3 linked regions of the Caenorhabditis elegans genome follow. The protein of the gene in region 1 purifies or fractionates together with the protein of each later gene. This does not show direct contact. Each region holds a gene or a part of one and is shown in the gene's direction. Other genes may lie near its edges. The genes, in order: rep-1, herc-1 and madf-3.

Region 1 (7,892 bases):
AACTAAAAAATTATCCGAAAAAATTGTATTTTCTACTATCATTTTAGTGTATCGAACTAAGTTGATATGTTTTGTATGTCGAAAAATAGTTTACACTTGGTTACATCATTTTTGTAGGAAAAATCTAGAATTTTCGACAAAAATTATTTTGAACATTTTTTGACGACCAACCAAAAAAATTTTTTTTTGGGCGGATTTTTTTCCAAACTTCTGTTGTTTTCTAATAATCTAAACAAAGCAAAATCCGCACACAAAGCTCAATTGAAAACTGAAAAGAAGCGAGATCAGAAAAATGCCTGAAAAAATTGGCTCCGCGTTAGGACACTTGGGGTGGTCAAAAACTTTCGTGACTATTGTCAAGTGAAAGATCATGGTTGATAACGTAAATTCCCAAAGTTTCATAAAAATCGATACGCAGCGAACAAAGTTATGATTTTTGACCCGGAACTTATTTGGAGACCTAATATATATATACCAGCCGTTCGAACGCGCTGAAGCGCGTGCTCCGACTGGCGTACTCAAAATTGAAATCAAATTCTAAAATTTCTAAGCCTTTCTCTGTAGATGGAACGTTTTTTTTCTGTTTTCCGGAAGTTTTCGAGCAACATAAATATTATATAGCTGAGTGTTTACAACTAAAAAAAAACGTTTTTCAAATCATATAAAACTTTTTTCCGGTCCTTTCCGAGAGTTTTTGGCGAGCGTTTCTGGAAATTATAACAATTTTGATCTTTTTTTTTCAAATTATTGAAACTTCAGAATATTCTAGGAGTATCAAAACTTGAAGAAGTTTTTTTTTTTGAACTTTCCGAAAGGTTCTAGAAATTTGCAGGTTCCTGAAATTTTCCACGAAATTGAACACTTCAGAATTTTCCCGATTTCTCTAGAAAGTTTTGGAACATTCCAGAATTTTCTCGAATTTATTTTTCTCAGAAAATTTGAATTTCCAGTCAACGAAGAGCCTTTGTCACAAAAACGACATATTATTAAAATTCACAGAATTTCCTAAATATTCCCTTCCTAAACATTTTCTCGTGACCCATGTGCTTCTACTCGTATTGGTGGCATAAAAACTGTATTTATTCACAGTTTCAGTCTTAAATTGGCCGAAAATGTGAATAAATACCGTATTTCTGCCAACAATTTGACAATAGAGCACATTTGTCACTCGGAGATGCGGAAGCTATGCCCAAATTTTCATTTTTCCCCCGAAAACTTGTATAATTTTTCAGGTAACCCGTGTACCGTACTCCCACGTGGCAGCCTGTCAAAGTTATATGCTATTCTACGAACGTGTCAAACCTCATCGACTCTACGAAAGGATGTAATTTCTGGATTTTTATTGATTTTTTTGAGAAAATTTTTTTTTTGGAAATTTCGCAATTTTTTTCCCAAACAATTGATTTATTTTGTTGCTAGATTCCCCTTATTTTTTGTTGTAAATTTTAACATTTTAATGACACAACGTGTAGCATTTCCTTTAAAGTTTATTTTTTGTGCAAAAATTCAGAAAATTTGAAAAAAATATTATAACTCTTCCCCCCGTCCCGTGCCATTTTTGTTAAGTTTTGTGTGTGTGTGTGAAAATGAAGATTTTTCGTGTTTTTTCCACTTTTTTTAGTTAATTTTTAAAGGTTTTCAGCCGTAAATCAAATATTTTAATAGAAAAAAAAATTTTTTTTGGAAAATTTTCAAAAAAATTTTTTTTTTTTTTGGTTTTTTTCAATTTTTCAAATTTAAGCATGACATCTCTTATTTTCCAAAAATTCAAACTATTTCCAGCTTTTCCAGCTCTAAAAAATGGACGAAAAGTTGCCAGAATCAGTGGACGTAGTGGTGCTGGGCACCGGACTACCTGAAGCCATTCTGGCTTCAGCTTGTGCTCGAGCTGGCTTATCTGTGCTTCATTTAGATAGGTAATAGGCGAACTAACATTTAAAAAAAGTTTAAAAAAATGAATGAATGAAATTGAAAAAAAAAAAATTTTTGCGAAAAAAAAATTATTTTCGGCTAAATTTTTTTTTTAATCATAACTTTTCCTCAAAAATACAGCAAAATTCGAATTCTCCACGTCGCCAGCTTCAATTTGATCCCCAAATTGCCTATATTCCGCTGGTTTTGAAGTTTTCGGGTCCCGCCACGAAAACTCCTCGGGTTACTGTAGTTTTTCGCGGCGGGACCCAAAATAAACGGATTCTGGGCATGATGGGGGTCATTTTGAAGCTGAGAACCTGATGAATTCAAATATCACATTAATTTTCGGGAAAAATCAGAAAGTAAAAATTTTCTGACCAAGTTTGTGGAAAATTTTTCGGAAAACGTCAAAAGTTTCCAATTTTCGAAAAATGTCAGCCAACTGATATCATATTCGAGTTCTCCACGTCACTAGCTTTAAAATAACCCCCCACCATGTCCATATTCCATTGATTTTGATTTTTTTGGGTCCCGTCACGGGTTACTGTAGCACCGATTTCAGCTGTGTCGATTGTCAAAATACACCGAACCTAGGCGTGTTGGGGCTCATTTGAAAGCTAATAACGTTGAGAAATCAGATTAATTGTTCGTTTTCGGAAATATCGAAAATTAAACAAATTTTAAGAAAAAAAAATATATATTTGCCAAAACATTTTTCAATTTTCAGAAATTTAAAAAATCAGAATTCTTTCTGAAATCTTCACGTTACCAGCTTTCAAATGACCCCCATCATGCCCATATTCCGCCTACTTTGAGAATTTTGGGTCCCGCCACGCGGGTTACTGTAGCACCGATTTCAGCTGTGTCGGTTGTCAAAATGCACGGAACCTAGGCGTGTTGGGGGTCATTTGAAAGCTGATAACGTCTGGAATTCGAATTTCATACTCGATTTCTTGAAAAATTCGAAATAAAAAATATTTTTGCAGAAATGAGTACTACGGCGGTGATTGGTCATCATTCACAATGTCGATGGTTCATGAAGTGACTGAAAATCAGGTTTTTATTGATTTTCAGCCAGAAAAACCCCAAAATTTCCGAATTTTCAGGTAAAAAAGCTGGATTCCTCGGAGATTTCCAAGTTATCAGAGCTTTTGACTGAAAATGAGCAGCTCATTGAGCTCGGCAATCGAGAAATCGTGGAAAACATTGAAATGACGTGGATTCCACGTGGAAAAGACGAGGAAAAGCCGATGAAAACGCAACTGGAAGAGGCTTCACAAATGCGGCGATTTTCCATCGATTTAGTGCCGAAAATTCTACTTTCCAAGGGAGCAATGGTACAAAATTGCAAAATTACACCTAAATTGGAGAACTTGATGTTTTGCCCTAATAGTCATCAAAAAATCAATTTTTGCCAAAAAAAAAATTTTTTTTGAAACTTTTTTTCTGAAAAAAAAGAAAAATTTTTCTAAAAATTCAATTTCCTCATTTAAAACTCTGAAATTCGAATTCTCTACGCCACCAGCTGTCTAATGACACCCAACATGCCCAGGTTCCGACCGCTTTGAAAATTTTGGGTCTCGCCACGCGGGTTACTGTAGCATCGATTTCAGCTGTGTCGAGACTGCCAAAATTCAAAATCAACGGACCACGGACATGTTGGGGGTCATTTGAAAGCTGATAAAGTGGAGAATTCGAATTATTTGCTAGTTTTCTGAAATATCGAAAATTTAAAAAAATTGAAAAATATTTTCCAAAAAATTGTCAATTTTCAGAATATTCAAAAATTAACATTTTTTCCGAGATCTTCACATCACCAGCTTCAAAATGACCCCCATCATGCCCTGGTTCCATGCAATTTGATTTTTTTGGGTCTCGCCACGCGGGTTACTGTAGCACCGGCTTCAGCTGTGTCAAAACTTCCAAAAGTCAAAATCAACGGAGCCGGGGCATGTTGGGGGTCATTCGAAAGCTGAGAGCGTCGAAAAATTCGAATTTCCGCATTATTTTCAGATATTGAAAAGTTTGACAAAAATTTATGGGAAAATTTTGAAAATCTTGAAAAAAATTTGGAAAAAAAAAACGATTTTCTTCCAATTTTTTGAATTTTTTCAGGTTCAAACACTCTGTGACTCCCAAGTATCCCATTATGCCGAGTTTAAGCTTGTCAACCGGCAGCTATGCCCAACAGAGACCCCAGAAGCCGGAATTACCCTAAATCCGGTGCCATGTAGCAAAGGAGAGATTTTTCAGAGCAATGCTTTGTCGTAAGGGATTTTTTTAGGCTGAAAATCGATAAAATATCGATTTTCTTTGCCAAAAAAATCGATTCGCAATGATAAATCTCCAAAAATTCTTCCAGAATCCTGGAAAAGCGAGCTCTTATGAAATTCATCACATTCTGCACACAATGGAGCACAAAAGACACGGAAGAAGGCAGAAAACTGCTCGCCGAGCACGCCGACCGCCCGTTTTCAGAGTTTTTGGAGCAAATGGGCGTTGGAAAGACCCTGCAGAGCTTTATTATTAATACGATCGGCATTTTACAGCAAAGACCCACTGCGATGACGGTGAATATGCGGAAATTACTGTTTTTTAGAAAAAAATCTGAATTTCTAAAAAAATTGAAAATGAAAAAAAAATCCAAAATTTTTTTTTTTGCACGAAATTTACTTCAATTTTTTTCAAAATATTATTGAAAAATTTGAATTCTCGCCACTCTCAGCTTCAAAATGACCCCCAACATGCCCGGGGTCCGTTGATTTTGAGTTTTGGCAGTCTCGACACAGCTGAAACCGGTGCTACAGTACCCCGCGTGGCGAGACCCGAATTTTCAAAATCATCGGAACCCGGGCAGTATGGGGGTCTTTAGAAAGATGATGATGTGGAGGATTCGAGTTTTGAGTCGATTTGAAAAGAAATTTATAATTGAAAAAAATTTGAGCAAAAAATTATTTTTTTTTTCGAAAAAATGTTGATTTTGTCTATTTTGCTAAAAATTTTTGAAAAATTCAAATCTCTAACGCTTTCAGCTTTACAATGACCCCCATCATGCCCATTTTCCGTGCAGTTTGCGCTCCGACACAGCTGAAACCGGTGCTACAGTACCCCTCGTGGCGGGACCCAAAATTTTCAAAATCGATGGATCATGGGCATGATGGGTGTCATTTGGAAGCTGGTGATGTGGAGAATTCGAATTTCGAGTTGATTTTCATGTCAAATTTGAAATTGAAAAAAATTTTGAGAAAAACAAATTTTCAAAAAAAAAAAAAAATTTTTTTCAAAATTTAAAATTTTTCCAAATTCCAGGGAATGTTGGCATCATGCCAGTTCATGGATTCTGTCGGCCATTTCGGTCCATCGCCATTCCTCTTCCCACTCTACGGATGTGGAGAGCTCTCACAGTGCTTTTGCCGGCTGGCAGCAGTCTTTGGGAGCTTATATTGTCTGGGACGGCCTGTACAGGCTATCGTGAAAAAAGATGGAAAGTTAGTGAAGAGAATAAGCGAAAAATCAATAGTTTCTGCGAAATTTGACCTAATTTTCAAGTCAAATTCCCAGCAAAACTAGTTTTATACAATATTCCGTGACTCATGTGTTTCTACCCAGATTGATGGCATAAAAACTGTTTTTATTCACATTTTCAGCCTTAAATTGTGCTGAAAATGTGAATAAATACCGTATTTCTGCCAACAATTTGACAATAGAGCACATTTGTCACTCGGAGATGCGGAAGCTATGCCCAAATTTTCAATTTGTCGGAAAACCAATTTTCTCAAAAATTTCCAGAATTACGGCTGTAATTGCCAATGGAGATCGTGTAAATTGTCGCTACATCGTGATGTCCCCGAGATTTGTCCCCGAAACTGTTCCAGCTAGTAGTACGCTGAAAATCGAGAGAATCGTCTATGCGACGGATAAATCGATTAAAGAAGCCGAGAAAGAACAGGTTCCGGAGCATTTTTTGGAGTTTTCCACCAGGAAATTCGATTTTCCCGCAAAATTCCACTCTAGAATTCAATTTCCCCGGGCTTCTAGCTCAATGTTACAATTTTTGGGGTTACTGTAGCGCCAAAAGTACGTTGACCTCGGTGCTTGCGTACCTGAGACCGAATTTTACGAAATTGAGCTTAAATTGGCTGAAAATCATGTTCCGGGGTGAATTGGCAACGGGAAATTCGAATTTCGCATTGAAAACCACCTTGGTCAACTGGTTTTCGAGAAAAATTTAATTTTACTCGAGAAACCAGTGCTCCTAGTTGATTTTCAATGCAAAATTCGAATTCCCCGTTGCCAATTTACCCCGTAACTGAAATTTAAGCCAATTTGGGTTCAATTTCGTAAAATTCGGTGTCAGGTACGCAAACACCACGGGGGCATCGCGTACTTTTGGCGCTACAGTAACCCCGAAAATTTCAAAATTGAGCTAGAAGCCTGGGAAAAAATAATTCTAGAGTGAAATTTTGCGGGGATTTCGAATTTCGTATTAAAAATCCGAAAAAATTTTCAGCTAACCCTCCTCAATCTGGCATCTCTCCGGCCCGACGCCGCAGTCTCACGGCTTGTTGAAGTGGGCTTTGAAGCCTGTACGGCTCCGAAAGGACACTGTAAGCCCCCACGTTTTTTCCTAGAAAAATAAAGATTTTTTTTTTGCAGTTCTGGTGCATGCAACGGGTACCCAAGAAGGAGAAACAAGTGTCAAGACTATTGCAGAGAAGATTTTTGAAAAAAATGGTGATTTTCGCGGAATTTTTAGGGGGAAATTTTGAATTTCCACTACCGAAAACCTATTTTTCGCTTAAAATTTGAGAAACTTTCATGGAAAAGTCATTTCCAAGTGAATTTTCCCTAATTTTAGGTGAAAAATTCGAATTCTCCGCTATAAAAAACCTATATATCCCCACGGGGAATCGAACCCTGGACCTTTTGCTCCAAAGGCGAGCCGCTTAGCCACTGCGCCACGCGTTGCAGCTAACCAGTGATGCATGTTGCACCCCGTGGCGCAGTGGCTAACAGGCTTGACTTCGGAGCAAATGGTCCCGGGGTTCGAGTCCCCGCAGTGGTGTATAGGTTTTTCATAGCGAACATTTCGAATTTTTAACTTAAAATTCGCAAAAATTGAGTTACAACCTAGTTTCCTGAAATTTTCGCTCGAAAATGATACAAAATCCATTTTTTTGAACTATTAATATATGTTAAGCTTCAAAGTTCTAAAATAGAGACTCCAAGAGTTGAAATCTCAGCAAGGATTCAGTGAAATTTTGAGAAAAATTATTTCCAAGTGAATTTTCCCCAATTTTAAGTGAAAAATTCGAATTCTCCGCTATAAAAAACCTATACACCCCCACGGAGAATCGAACCCCGGACCTTTTGCTCCAAAGGCGAGCCGCTTAGCCACTGCGCCACGCGTTGCATCACGCGCCGCTGGTTCGGCGCACCGGTGGCGCAGTGGCTAACAGGCTTGACTTCGGAGCAAAAGGTCCGGGGTTCGAGTCCCCGTGGGAGTATTTAGGTTTTTCAGGGCGGAGATTTCGAATTTTTCACTTAAAATTCGCGAAAATTGGCTTGGAACCCGGTTTTTCTTTAATATTTTTGAGTTTTTCGATTTTTCCTAGAAAAATCGATATTTTTTCTGCATTTCAGAAGTGGAACCCTACTGGAAGATGAGCTTCACCGCGAATTCCATGAAATTCGACACCGCCGGAGCCGAAAATGTCGTCGTCGCGCCGCCAGTTGATGCGAATTTACACTATGCTAGTGTGGTGGAGGAGGTTAGGGCGAAAGAACGATGAAAATTGGATTTTTGAGCTGAAATTGAATTAGAAATTCAAATTAGAAAAAAAAATTTCGAAAAAATATAAAAATTAAAAAAAAAAAATTTTTTTGAAAAATTTTTCAGAAAATTTTTTTTTTCGAAAATTTTTTTGAATTCAATTTTTATCGATTTTTCTGAATTTTAAACACCTGCTATATATCCA
Region 2 (4,709 bases), on another chromosome or scaffold:
ATCAGCAAATTGCCAGATAGTAGAATTTCCGGCAAATCAGCAAACCGGCAAATTGCCAGAAATTAGAATTTCCGGCAAATCGGCAAGCCGGCAAATTGCCAGAAATTAGAATTTCCGGCAAATCAGCAAACCGGCAAATTGCCAGAAATTAGAATTTCCGGCAAATCAGCAAACCGGCAAATTGCCAGAAATTAGAATTTTCGGCAAATCGGCAAGCCGGCAAATTGCCAGAAATTAGAATTTTCGGCAAATCAACAAACTGACAAATTGCCAGAAATTAAAATCTCCGGCAAATCAGCAAATTGCCAGAAATTAGAATTTTCGGCAAATCAGCAAACCGGCAAATTGCCAGAAATTAGAATTTCCGGCAAATCAGCAAACTGACAAATTGCCAGAAATTAAAATCTCCGGCAAATCGGCAAATTGCCAGAAATTAGAATTTTCGGCAAATCAGCAAACCGGCAAATTGCCAGAAATTAGAATTTTCGGCAAATCGGCAAGCCGGCAAATTTCCAGAAATTAGAATTTTCGGCAAATCGGCAAGCCGGCAAATTTCCAGAAATTAGAATTTTCGGCAAATCAACAAACTGACAAATTGCCAGAAATTAAAATCTCCGGCAAATTGGCAAATTGCCAGAAATTAAAATTTCCGGCAAATCGGCAAACCGCCAGATTGCCAGAAATCAAATTTTCTGCAAATTGCCAGAATTTTAATTTTCCGGCAAATCGGCAAATTGCGAGAAATTAGAATTTCCGGCAAATCAGCAAACTGGCAAATTGCCAGAAATTAGAATTTTCGGCAAATCAGCAAACCGGCGAATTGCCAGAAATTAGAATTTCCGGAAAATTGTTATTTTTAGAAAAATAGGATAATTTGAAAATTGAAGAAAAAAAACTAATAAAAAAGTTTAACTAAATTTTTTTGGAAGTTTTCACAAATTGTTAGTAATTTCATGAGAAATAAGTTAAATTTTTGTCCAAAAAATCAATTTTTCAGGCCGCCCAAGACCGTGAAGCCGCGTGGGCTCGCAAGGAAGAAGCCGCAAAGGCTGCGGAGCCGTCCAGCAGCTCAACTGATGCTCCAGAATCTGCTGAAACTCTGGAAATTCCAGAAGAAAATGTTCAAGAAATGACTGAATAATTTGTTTTTTTTTTGTTATCTCTTTTTTCTCCTTTAATTTATCTCCATTTATCCCCTACACAGTTATAAATTCTGCTACGTGGCCGTGTGGAAAAAACTCGGCCACCGATTTTTTTTTGTTCCCTCACGTGGTGCCAAAGTGTTTCATTTCTGTTTGATCTACAAAAAATGCGGGAATTTTTCCCCAAAAAACTGTGACGTCAGCACGTTTTTAATCGTGCAAAATCAGTTGAGAACTCTGCGTCTCAACTCCCGCATTTTTTGTAGATCTAGGTAGATCAAACCGAAATGAGACATTCTGTCACAACGTGTTCCCTTTATTGTTGTTGCAGTTGTTATTTGATTTTTTTTTTTGAAAAAATTTGAATTTTTTTTTCAGATTTTTTCCTCTGATACTGCTTCAAAAACTAAAGTTGTTGAGATCACACTATGATATTTTCTAGATTGTTTTTTTAAAATTTAATTGTTAAAAAAATCAGATTTCAGAAAATGCGAGCTGAGCTGCTCGGATGTGGACACACGGGCGAGGGACAGCTCGGCGTTCGGCTCTCCGAGTCGACGATTCAAGTTCCCGAGAGAATTAGTACGGAGCTATTTTTGTTGCAGAAATTAGAAAACAGAAAAAAAAATTAATTCCGAAATTAAATTTTAAAAATTAAAAAATTTCGGATGAAAAAAAAACAATTGGAAGATTTTTGTAAATCTTTCACAAAACTTTAAAAAAAACTTTTTTAAAGAAATAATGGCAAACCGACATTTTGCCGGAAATGGAAGATTCCGGCAAACCGGCAAAAAGCCAGAAATTAAAATTTTCTGCATATCGACAATTTGCCTAAAATGAAAATTTCCGGCAAATCGGCAATATGCCTAAAATGAAAATTTCCGGCAAATCGGCAATTTGCCTAAAATGAAAGGTTCCGGAAATCGGCAATTTTCCTAAAATGAAAGGTTCCGGCAAATCGGCAATTTTCCTAAAATGAAAGATTCCGGCAAATCGGCAAGTTGTCAAAAATGATAGATTCCGGCAAATCGGCAAAAAGCCAGAAATTAAAATTTTCTGCAAATCCACAATTTGCCTAAAATTAAAATTTCCGGAAATCGGCAATTTGCCGAAAATGAGAGATTCCGGCAAATCGGCAATTTGTCAAAAATGATAGATTCCGGCAAATCGGCAAAAAGCCAGAAATTAAAATTTCCGGCAAATCGGCAATTTGCCGAAAATGATAGATTCCGGCAAACCGGCAAAAAGCCAGAACTTAAAATTTCCGGAAATCGGCAATTTGCCGAAAATGAGAGATTCCGGCAAATCGGCAATTTTTCAAAAATGATAGATTCCGGCAAATCGGCAAAAAGCCAGAAATTAAAATTTCCGGCAAATCGGCAATTTGCCTAAAATGAAAATTTCCAGCAAATCGGCAATTTGCCTAACGAAAAAAAATTGATTACTTTGGAGCAAAATTGTATGCATCTTTAAAAAACTCTTTTTTTTTGAATATTTGTTTAAAAACTGTGTGAAAATAGTTTAAAATCGTCTCGGAATTTTCTCTGAAAATTGTTCAAAATTTCAGTTGGCGCTCCAAATGATATGGATGGAACCGCAGTGACGTCAGTCACGTGTGGTGAACAACATACAGTATTCCTGACAAAAGATGGCAAAATGTGGAGTGTTGGTAGTAATATGGATGGACAATTGGGACGAGGCAGTCGGACTGAGGGTTCTTTTTCGATTTATCCGGTTTCTTGGACAAGCAGTGCGAAAATTATTCAGGTAACTTTGAGTTTTTTTTTTGGCGAAAATCCATTAGAAAATGATTTTACCATATTTTTTCGCTAAATAACATTTGAAAAATAAAAAATTTTTCGTTTTTCCCTAGTTTTTGGCGAGAAAATCCCGTAGATCTCATTTTTGTAAACTCTTTTTCCGTGGAATCCCCTTTTCTTAGATTTCCATCTCGCAGATCCTCTTCCCATAGTTCCCATTTGCGTAAATTCTCTTCTCGTAGATCCCCGTTTCGTAGATCTCCGTCTTGTTGATCCCCTTCTCGTAGAATAGCAAATTTCTAGATCCTCTTCTCCCAGATACTCTTTTGGTAGATTCACTTCTCGTAAATCTCCTTCTCATAGAATTAATTTTGGTTCCCGTTTCGTAGATCTCTGTTTCGTGCAAGCTCCCTTCTCGAAGATTCCTTTGCCGTAGATCTTCTTTTCGTAGATCACCCTTCTCGCAGCTCTCTTTTTTGTAAATTCTCTTTTCATAGATCTGCCTTCCATAGACTTCCCTTCTCGGAGATCTCCTTTACGCAGAACGACGTTTTGTAGATCCTTTTCCATAGATTCTCCTCTCGTAGAATGGCTAATTCCTAGATCCTCTTCTCCCAGATCCCTTTTTTTGTAGATTCTCTTCTCGTAGATCTCCGTTTCGTAGATGCTCTTTTTTGTACATATATTTTCCATAGATCCCTTTTTGCCTTTAATGTAGATTTTTTCCATAATTACCCTCTCCGTAGATCTCCTTCTCGTAGATCCCATTTCCGTAGAATTCCCCCTTTCGTAGATCCCATTTTCAAAGATAGCCTTTCCGTATAATCTCCCTTTCGTAGATTCGATTTTCGAAAATAATAATCTCGCAGATCCCCTTCTCATAGATCCCCATCTGGTTGATCACCTTCTCGTAGATGCTTTTTTCATAAATTCCCTTACTTCAGATCCATTTTCCGTGGATCTCCTTTTCGCAGAGCCAATTTCCATAGATCGCCTTCTCGTAGAAATTCCATTTTTCAGATCTCTGCTGGCCGTTCTCACACAGTCTCCGTAACCGACGATGGGCGTGTCTTCGCTTGGGGCTCCAATGAGCACGGACAACTCGGAATGGAGAGTAAATTCACGTGGCAGGGAACACCACGACGTGTTCAAGAGATTAATGATATTGTACAAGTGGCGTCTGGATCCAATCATTGTATTGCGTTGGATGAAGGTAGAAATTTGGAAATTTGTGAAAAAATTCAAATTTTTGCTGGAAAAGTCCAAAAAGTATCTCAAAAACCTGAAAAATTGAAAAATTTAGTAAGGGGATATGGTCGGGGTACTGTAGTAGTACTGTAGGGGTACTGTAGGAGTACGGTAGGATTACTGTAGTTTAGGGAAATTTGACTTTTTCTCTTTTGAATGGATATTGGTTTGGGGTTAGTGGGGGGGATATGGTCGGGGTACTGTAGTAGTACTGTAGGGGTACTGTAGGAGTACTGTAGTAGTACTGTAGGATTACTGTAGTTTAGGAAAAATAAACTTTTCGTCTTTTGAAGGAATATTTGTTTTCGAATAATTTGCAAAAACGGAAAGCTGGATTTTTTTGAAAATAAAAAATAAAAATGTAATCCCGCTTCAACGCCAAAAGAAAAGTTGGGTCTCGTTAGGAATTGGCGGCGAAATTTTTTGCTAATTTTTGCTAATTTTGAAGCATTTTTTGTTGCTTTTAATAATTTTTGTACCAACGACGACCAAAAAATCATGGAAATCCAGAGAAAAACCGATCAATTCTGAATTGAAATTTGAATTGCCGCGCTCATTT
Region 3 (6,662 bases), on another chromosome or scaffold:
TATAATTTTCGGCAAAAAATAGGGAAAAATTGCCTAAATTTGAAGCTATATTTTTTTTTCGGAAAATCTAGAAAAAAAGCGAAAAAAAAACAAAAATTGCACTTCTTTTGTAATTTTCCAGTGCCATATTTTGGATAAAAAAGGAAAATTTTTAATTTTTTTTTCGAAAAAAGCGAGTTTTTCTGCTAAAAACACGAAAAAGGCGGAAGAAACATTTTTTTTCAAAAAATTTGAATTTCCCGCCAAAATATTGAATTTCCAAACTCCTTCCACTTTCAATGACGCCAAAAAAAAATATTTTCCTCTCATTTTTCACTCTCTAGTTGACTGCGTTTCTCTCTATATTGACGCAAATAATTTTTTTTTCATCATTTTTTCCCCCGTCTCTTTTCATTTCTCTACACAAAAAATCTACTTTTTAATCAATAAATTCCCTTAATTTTCGCATTTTTTTCAGGTCAGCCCAAAACATGTCACCAAATACGTCACCCAAGTGCTTGTGGCGAAGAAAGAAGCCGAGTTGAAGCTGGAAAATCAGAAATTCGGAGAGAAAAAGGAGATTAATCGAAGAAAAGAGCTTCTGATGAGTGGAATGGATGAAGATGAAGCTGATAGGCATTTGGAGGAAATGAGGACTCGAAGAATGACAAATTCCAAGAGAAAGCTGGAGAAAATTAGTGGACAATTGGATAAAAGAGATCGATTTCAGAAGAAATTGGCGGCGAAAAAAGTGAAAAAGGAAGAAAATTGAATTCATTTTAAATATTGTAATTTTTGTTCAGCTTGTGTCGATTTACGCGGCTCGTGTACTCCTCGTGGAGAAGTGCAAAATTTTTACAGTTTTTGCTCAAAATTACAGAAAACTGTTAACAAAATGCAAATTTTTGAACAATTAAAACAATTAAAAGTGGCCAAAAATTACCAAAAATTGCAAATCTCCACTTTTTCAAATTAAAATTACGGTATATTTTTGGCATTTAAAGTTGTGTTTGCGGCAAACGATTTTTTTCCGGCAAATCGGCAAATTTGCCGGAATTGAAAATTTGCGGTAAATCGGCAAACCTGCAACTTGCCGAAAAAACGGAAATTGCCATAGATTTTCGGCAAATTGCGATTTTTTACCTTTTTTTTTTTTGATATTTCAGAATTTAAATTTTAATCGGCAAAACTGTACGCATCCTATGACTATTCCTACATCTAATTTGAAAATTGGCAAATTCTATGAAAATATCTAGAAAACCGACAAAAAAATTTCAAAAAAGCACAGTTTCAAGTTTTTCCGTCTCGTAAAAATTCTTCCAAAAAATTCCTGCAAATTTATGTTCGGTAAATCGGCAGGTCGACAATTCGCCGATTTGCCGATTTTGTCGACAAAGAAATTTGCCGAACAGCAACTGTTAACAAAATGCAAATTTTTAATTTAAAATTAAAATTTTTAAGTTGCCAAAAATCACCAAAAATTGAAAATCTCATTTTTTTTCTGGGATTTAAAGCAAAAAATCATTTTTTTTTAGTGTTAAATTCAAAATTCTAGTACTTTACTTCTCCTCGTGGAGTACACGAGCTTGCGATTTCTGTTGTTTTAGATTTAAATTGTTACTTTTTTTGTTTTGTTTTGTTTTTTTGTTGTTGATTTCTTTTGAAAAAAAATCAATATTTTCTATCACATCTATTTTCTTTTTATTCCCCATAATGGTTTCCTTAAAACCTTCCTCATAATATCTCTAAAAGCCGTCTCAAAAAGCGATTGCTCTAACACTTTCAGCTAATCATGATCTCCAGTGAGCACAACTATCAGCATTTATATCACGAAGAACAATACGATATGTGAGTTTAAAATGATATTTGGATAAATTTAGAAAAATCGAATTTTTGAAAAAAAAAATCAGATTTTTCTCAAAAAAGATCCAATTTATTTTCCGATAAATTGGCGAAAAATCAACAATTTTTTATATATGAAAAAAGAAAATTTTTCTAATTGTAAGTACTTACGAAGTGCTAAAAATAATTTAATCTACTAAATAAAAAAATTAAAAAAAAACTTTTGTTGTCAAAATTTTTTTTTTTCAACAAACAATTTTTTATTTTAAAAAGGTAAAAAATCAGTTTTTGCAAACACTTTTTTTCGAAAAAAAAAAACGTTTTTTACTTTAAAAAAAAGATGTTTCTAAAAACCTTCGAAAAATACCAGATTTTTCGAAAAAATTGCAATTTTTTTAATACGAAAATTTAAAAAAGTTAATTTTCGAAACAAGTCCATTTTTTAATTATATATTCTATCAAAAAAAATTGAATTAAAAAAAAACTTGATCTTCCATTAAAAACACATTTTTTTTCGATAAAAATCTTTAAAAATCTTAAGGTGTTTTTTCTTGAGAAAAAATACTCGATTTTCTTTTTAAAAAAAACTGCGCTTTTTTTGTAAAAAATTTAAAAAAAAATTAATTTCCGACAGAAAAACTATTTTTTAAAATTATATATTCGATAAAAATTCAAAAAATCGCGTTTTCCTTTAAGAACATATTTTTGGATAAAGTTTGATGTTATCAGTTTTTTTTTTCAAATTAGAAAAATCAAAAATTCACTCAAAAAAATCCCAAAAAGCATTTTTCCGAAAAAAAAGTTCGCTTAAAAAAATCAGAAAATTATCTGATTTTTCTAAAAAAAATCATAAATAACCTTTTTTTGCAGGAACTACACAGCGACCCGCTTCGGCGAGGAAATGATCGAACCGACATTCAACCTACGTCTCATCGAAGCCGTCCGTCATAGTCGATGCCTTTTCGACAATACAGACCGACAATACCGTAATACAGAATACAAAAATCGAGTTTGGCAGCGTCTGGTTACTGTACTCGGTTTTGATGGTGATCCGAGAATGTTATCTGCGAGATGGAAGCAATTAAGAGATAAATATGGAAAAGAGAAGAGAAAACAAAAATATGGAAATGAGAAATCATCATGGCAATATTTCAAACATCTTCATTTTCTAGATCCACATATGACAGATCGAGCAGAAATATCACCATCTCGAAAAGAGCCAACTGGAGTTCATGAAAAGATTGCTGAGCCATGTTTTGGAAAAAATCTAATTCTTGAAGTGAGAAGGCATCCGTGTCTTTATGATGTTCGTGATCCAAAATATCGTCATGGAGACTGTCGTACTCAAGCATGGGGAATGATTATTGATAAACTACGATATCCTGGAACAGTTCCGTCGATTTATAAACAATGGAAGAAGCATCGAGATCGATATGTTAGGGAGAAGAGGAGGCTGAGGAATTTGGTAGGCATTTGGAGGCCTCATGAAAAGGAGAACTTATGGAAAATGGGATCTGGCAGGCGGCAGTTGCCGGTTTACCTATTTGCCGGAAATTTTGATTCCCGGCAAAGTGACGATTTGCCGGAAATTCTAATTTTAGGCAATTTGCCGGTTTTCCGGAAATTTTGATTTTTGGCAAATTGCCTATTTGCCGGAAGTTTTCATTTTGGGCATTTTGCCGATATGCCGGAATTTTTAATTTTAGGCAATTTGGCGATTTGCCCGAAATTTTGATTTTTGGAAAATTGCCTATTTGCCGGAAATTTTGATTTTTGGCAAGTTGCCGATTTGGCGATTTGCCGGAAATTTTGATAAACGGCAAATTTGGCGATTTGCCGGAAATTTTGATAAACGGCAAATTTGGCGATTTGCCGGAAATTTTGATATTCGGCAAATTTCCGGTTTGGCGATTTGCCGGAAATTCTAATTTTAGGCAATTTGGCGATTTGCCGGAATATTTTTATTTTCGGGATATTGCCTATTTGGCGATTTGCCGGAAGTTTTAATTTCGGGCAATTTGCTGATTTGCCGGTTTGCCGGAAATTTCGATTTTCGACAAATTCGGCAAGTTGGAAATTTGCCGGAATTGCCGGAAAAAATCGTTTGCCCCTCCCTGCCTGGCACTGCCAACGCACAAAACTCAATTTTTCTTTGAGAAAAAATTGGCACAGTGCCAGAATCCCCTTTCTCAACAGTATCCCGTTTTCGTGGAGCCTCTATTTTTGTTTTAAACAGAAATTTTACAAATTTTTCTTAGCAACTTCAGGGTGATCCGAATGTTCAAGATGTGTCAACTTGGGAGATGTATGATGATATGGCTTGGATAGATCAGCATTTGGATGAACGTACGAGCTTTTTTTCCTGGAAAATTAAAACAAAAAACCTTTAAATCAAACTGATCCTGAATGCCGAAATACCATAAAAGGCCCCCGAAAAAAAAAATCAAAAATCATTAAGTTTGAAAAAAAATCGGTTGATTTTGGTTAATTTTCAATTCTGACTAATCTCCTAATCATTTAAATTGCCGCGCCTTTTTCAGCGCCGCACTCCGTAGATCTGTATCTGCGCGACGTTAATTCTAGTTTTTCCCGTTTTTTCCTCGCAAGTGAAGACAATAGTGCGGATGCAGATCTACGGACAATAGTGTGGATGCAGAGAGATTCAGGATCAGTTTGCGCATTTTGAAGTAAAATCCCTCATTTACTCCTACTCCTCCAGCTTTAAAATCGTTTTTTTTCCTCAATATAAATACGAAAAAAGAGTTTAGTTTTAGAACTCTTGTTTTGACATGTAAAAAATTTCGCACCGCCATATGTGAAATTACGAATTACGCAGTTCCATGTATTATTTTACGTGGCTCCTAAAATCGCCGGAATAAATACTTTAAAAAAAACTAAAATTTTGCAGAGCAACTATCTCGATGTGCTCGAAGTCTGAAACGAGGGGGAAACAATGACGGAGGAAATCAGGATGAAATGTCAGATTATGGAGATTACGATGATGAGTGAGTGAGCTAAAATGAGCAAAAAGTTGATGAAAAAAAAAGAGGAAATTTGACTCTAAAATTGATCAACTTCTAACCAATCAGCGCTCGGCCCCTTCTCTTTTTTGAACCAATCAGCGACGACCTGTGCCGCTGATTGGTTCGGAATTGCGCGGAGTCGGGCGCTGATTGGTCGGAAGCAAATAGTGGCGGTTTTAAGACAATTTTCGGTGATTTCTATTAGATTCTCTAGAAAAATTGAAAAATTTTCAAAAAAAAAAATTCAAAGATTTAGAAAAATGAAATTTTAAAAATTTGGAATTTGCGAAAACTTGATGATTTGGTGCAATTTTTTCCGACAAGTAATCACAGATAATTCCAAAATAATAATTTTATTTTGCCAAAAAAAAAATCAATAAACCCCTGAAATTTCCAGCATAAACTACGTGATGATGGCTGAAAAGCGACCAAACAACGGTGATGTACTTCTCGACGGAGATTCTGCATTCTCTGCATCAATTGTATCGGATCTAAGGACACTTGGAGAAGAAGCACGAATAATTGCAAAGCAGCAGATTATGATACTTTTGGAATCCGCTAAACCTCCGTCTACACCTGCTCCTAATTATTTGTGATTTTTATTGAATTTTCTAGCCGAAATTTTCAATTTTTTGTCCACTTTTTATTACCCAACCTCGAAATTTCTTCGATTTTACCCCAAGCCGGGTCTCGCCACGACCCAAATTGATAAGTTGAAAACTTTTTTTTTGATAAGTTGAAAATTGAAAAAAGTGTGCGCCTTTAAAGAGTACTGTGTTTAACTGTGAATTTTTGTCGAGTTTTTCTCACAATTTGTGAAAATTTATTGTCTTTTTTATCGAAAAACTATGAAAAATTGATGAAAATTCACGAATTTTTGAAGTTACAGTACTCTTTAAAGGCGCACACCTTTACACACGCACTTAACAAAAATTGTCGCTTCGAGACCCCAGGTACTGTAGTCTTGGCGCATTTATTTCCAATTTTTTTGATCTTTATCCCATCAACTGGTCTCATCATATTTTCATATTTGTACAATATTTCTGTATCTGTATTTTTTTTTGTAATTTTTGTGGGCAGTTTCTTAATTTCCATCGCCGTCTTTCCTATCTCAGGTCCTTTTATTTCATGAATAATTGATTTTTATCCTAGAAAATTTGGATTTTTTGTTGTAAATTTACCTCTTTTAAGGTGTTCAAAACCTACTTTTTATCTGTGTTTTTTGAAAAATTTTGAAAAATTTTTTGCGGATGGGTCTCACCGCGAAGTCTGAAAGTTACACTGCAACTTTTTCCTCGCGAGGGACGAGGAAAAGTGGTTTCTAGGCCATGGCCGAGGGGCCGACAAGTTTCAGCGGCCATTTATCTTGCTTTGTTTTCCGCCTGTTTTCTTTCGTTTTTCATCGATTTTTTTCGTTTTTTCTTAATAAAACTGATAAATAAATATTTTTTGCAGATGCTAAAACAATTTCCAATTTCCAAGTGAAAAAATCATGCATTCAGTGGGCAAGCAGCGGTGAAAGTGGTCAATGTAATATGATGGATTACGGGAATACAAAACCTAAACTTTTTCTGAAACATGATACATATGATGCTTAGATGCTGAAATTACCTGATTTTCATAACGAGACCGCTGAAAAAGTTTTGAGGTTTTCAAAATTCAATTTTTTTGTGCGAAAATCTCGACTTTTTCACCAAAAAAGTTGAATTTTGGAAACCTCAAAACTTTCTTAGCGGTCTCGTTATGAAAATCAGGTAGTCTCAGCATTTAAGCAGCATATGTATCATGTTTCAGAAAAAGTTTAGGTTTTGTATTCCC

What was found.
Region 2: the proteins of rep-1 (region 1) and herc-1 fractionate together in Caenorhabditis elegans (co-fractionation; one large-scale study listed by BioGRID). This does not show direct contact.
Region 3: the proteins of rep-1 (region 1) and madf-3 fractionate together in Caenorhabditis elegans (co-fractionation; one large-scale study listed by BioGRID). This does not show direct contact.

Annotation. Positions count from the first base shown.
Region 1 is NC_003281.10:1,568,524-1,576,415, forward strand, and holds the start of rep-1 (Rab proteins geranylgeranyltransferase component A 1), read left to right. Parts: upstream 1-1,782; 5' UTR 1,783-1,800; coding exon 1,801-1,916; intron 1,917-2,900; coding exon 2,901-2,970; intron 2,971-3,020; coding exon 3,021-3,251; intron 3,252-4,029; coding exon 4,030-4,181; intron 4,182-4,276; coding exon 4,277-4,484; intron 4,485-5,223; coding exon 5,224-5,402; intron 5,403-5,703; coding exon 5,704-5,863; intron 5,864-6,424; coding exon 6,425-6,521; intron 6,522-6,570; coding exon 6,571-6,648; intron 6,649-6,809; exon of another isoform or gene 6,810-6,882; intron 6,883-6,906; exon of another isoform or gene 6,907-6,979; intron 6,980-7,251; exon of another isoform or gene 7,252-7,327; intron 7,328-7,348; exon of another isoform or gene 7,349-7,421; intron 7,422-7,557; coding exon 7,558-7,685; intron 7,686-7,892. Other genes in the region: Y67D2.2 (Ubiquitin carboxyl-terminal hydrolase), read left to right, coding at 1,233-1,328. UniProt on the Caenorhabditis elegans protein: Substrate-binding subunit of the Rab geranylgeranyltransferase (GGTase) complex. Binds unprenylated Rab proteins and presents the substrate peptide to the catalytic component B and remains bound to it after the geranylgeranyl transfer reaction.
Region 2 is NC_003279.8:1,209,865-1,214,573, forward strand, and holds the start of herc-1 (HECT domain-containing protein), read left to right. Parts: upstream 1-1,620; 5' UTR 1,621-1,630; coding exon 1,631-1,724; intron 1,725-2,709; coding exon 2,710-2,909; intron 2,910-3,922; coding exon 3,923-4,115; intron 4,116-4,709. Other genes in the region: nsun-2 (tRNA (cytosine(34)-C(5))-methyltransferase), read left to right, coding at 998-1,141.
Region 3 is NC_003280.10:4,332,985-4,339,646, forward strand, and holds madf-3 (Alcohol dehydrogenase transcription factor myb/sant-like protein), read left to right. Parts: upstream 1-1,763; 5' UTR 1,764-1,827; intron 1,828-2,691; 5' UTR 2,692-2,722; coding exon 2,723-3,286; intron 3,287-4,088; coding exon 4,089-4,167; intron 4,168-4,729; coding exon 4,730-4,826; intron 4,827-5,241; coding exon 5,242-5,440; 3' UTR 5,441-6,054; downstream 6,055-6,662. Other genes in the region: H20J04.4 (RNA helicase), read left to right, coding at 458-751.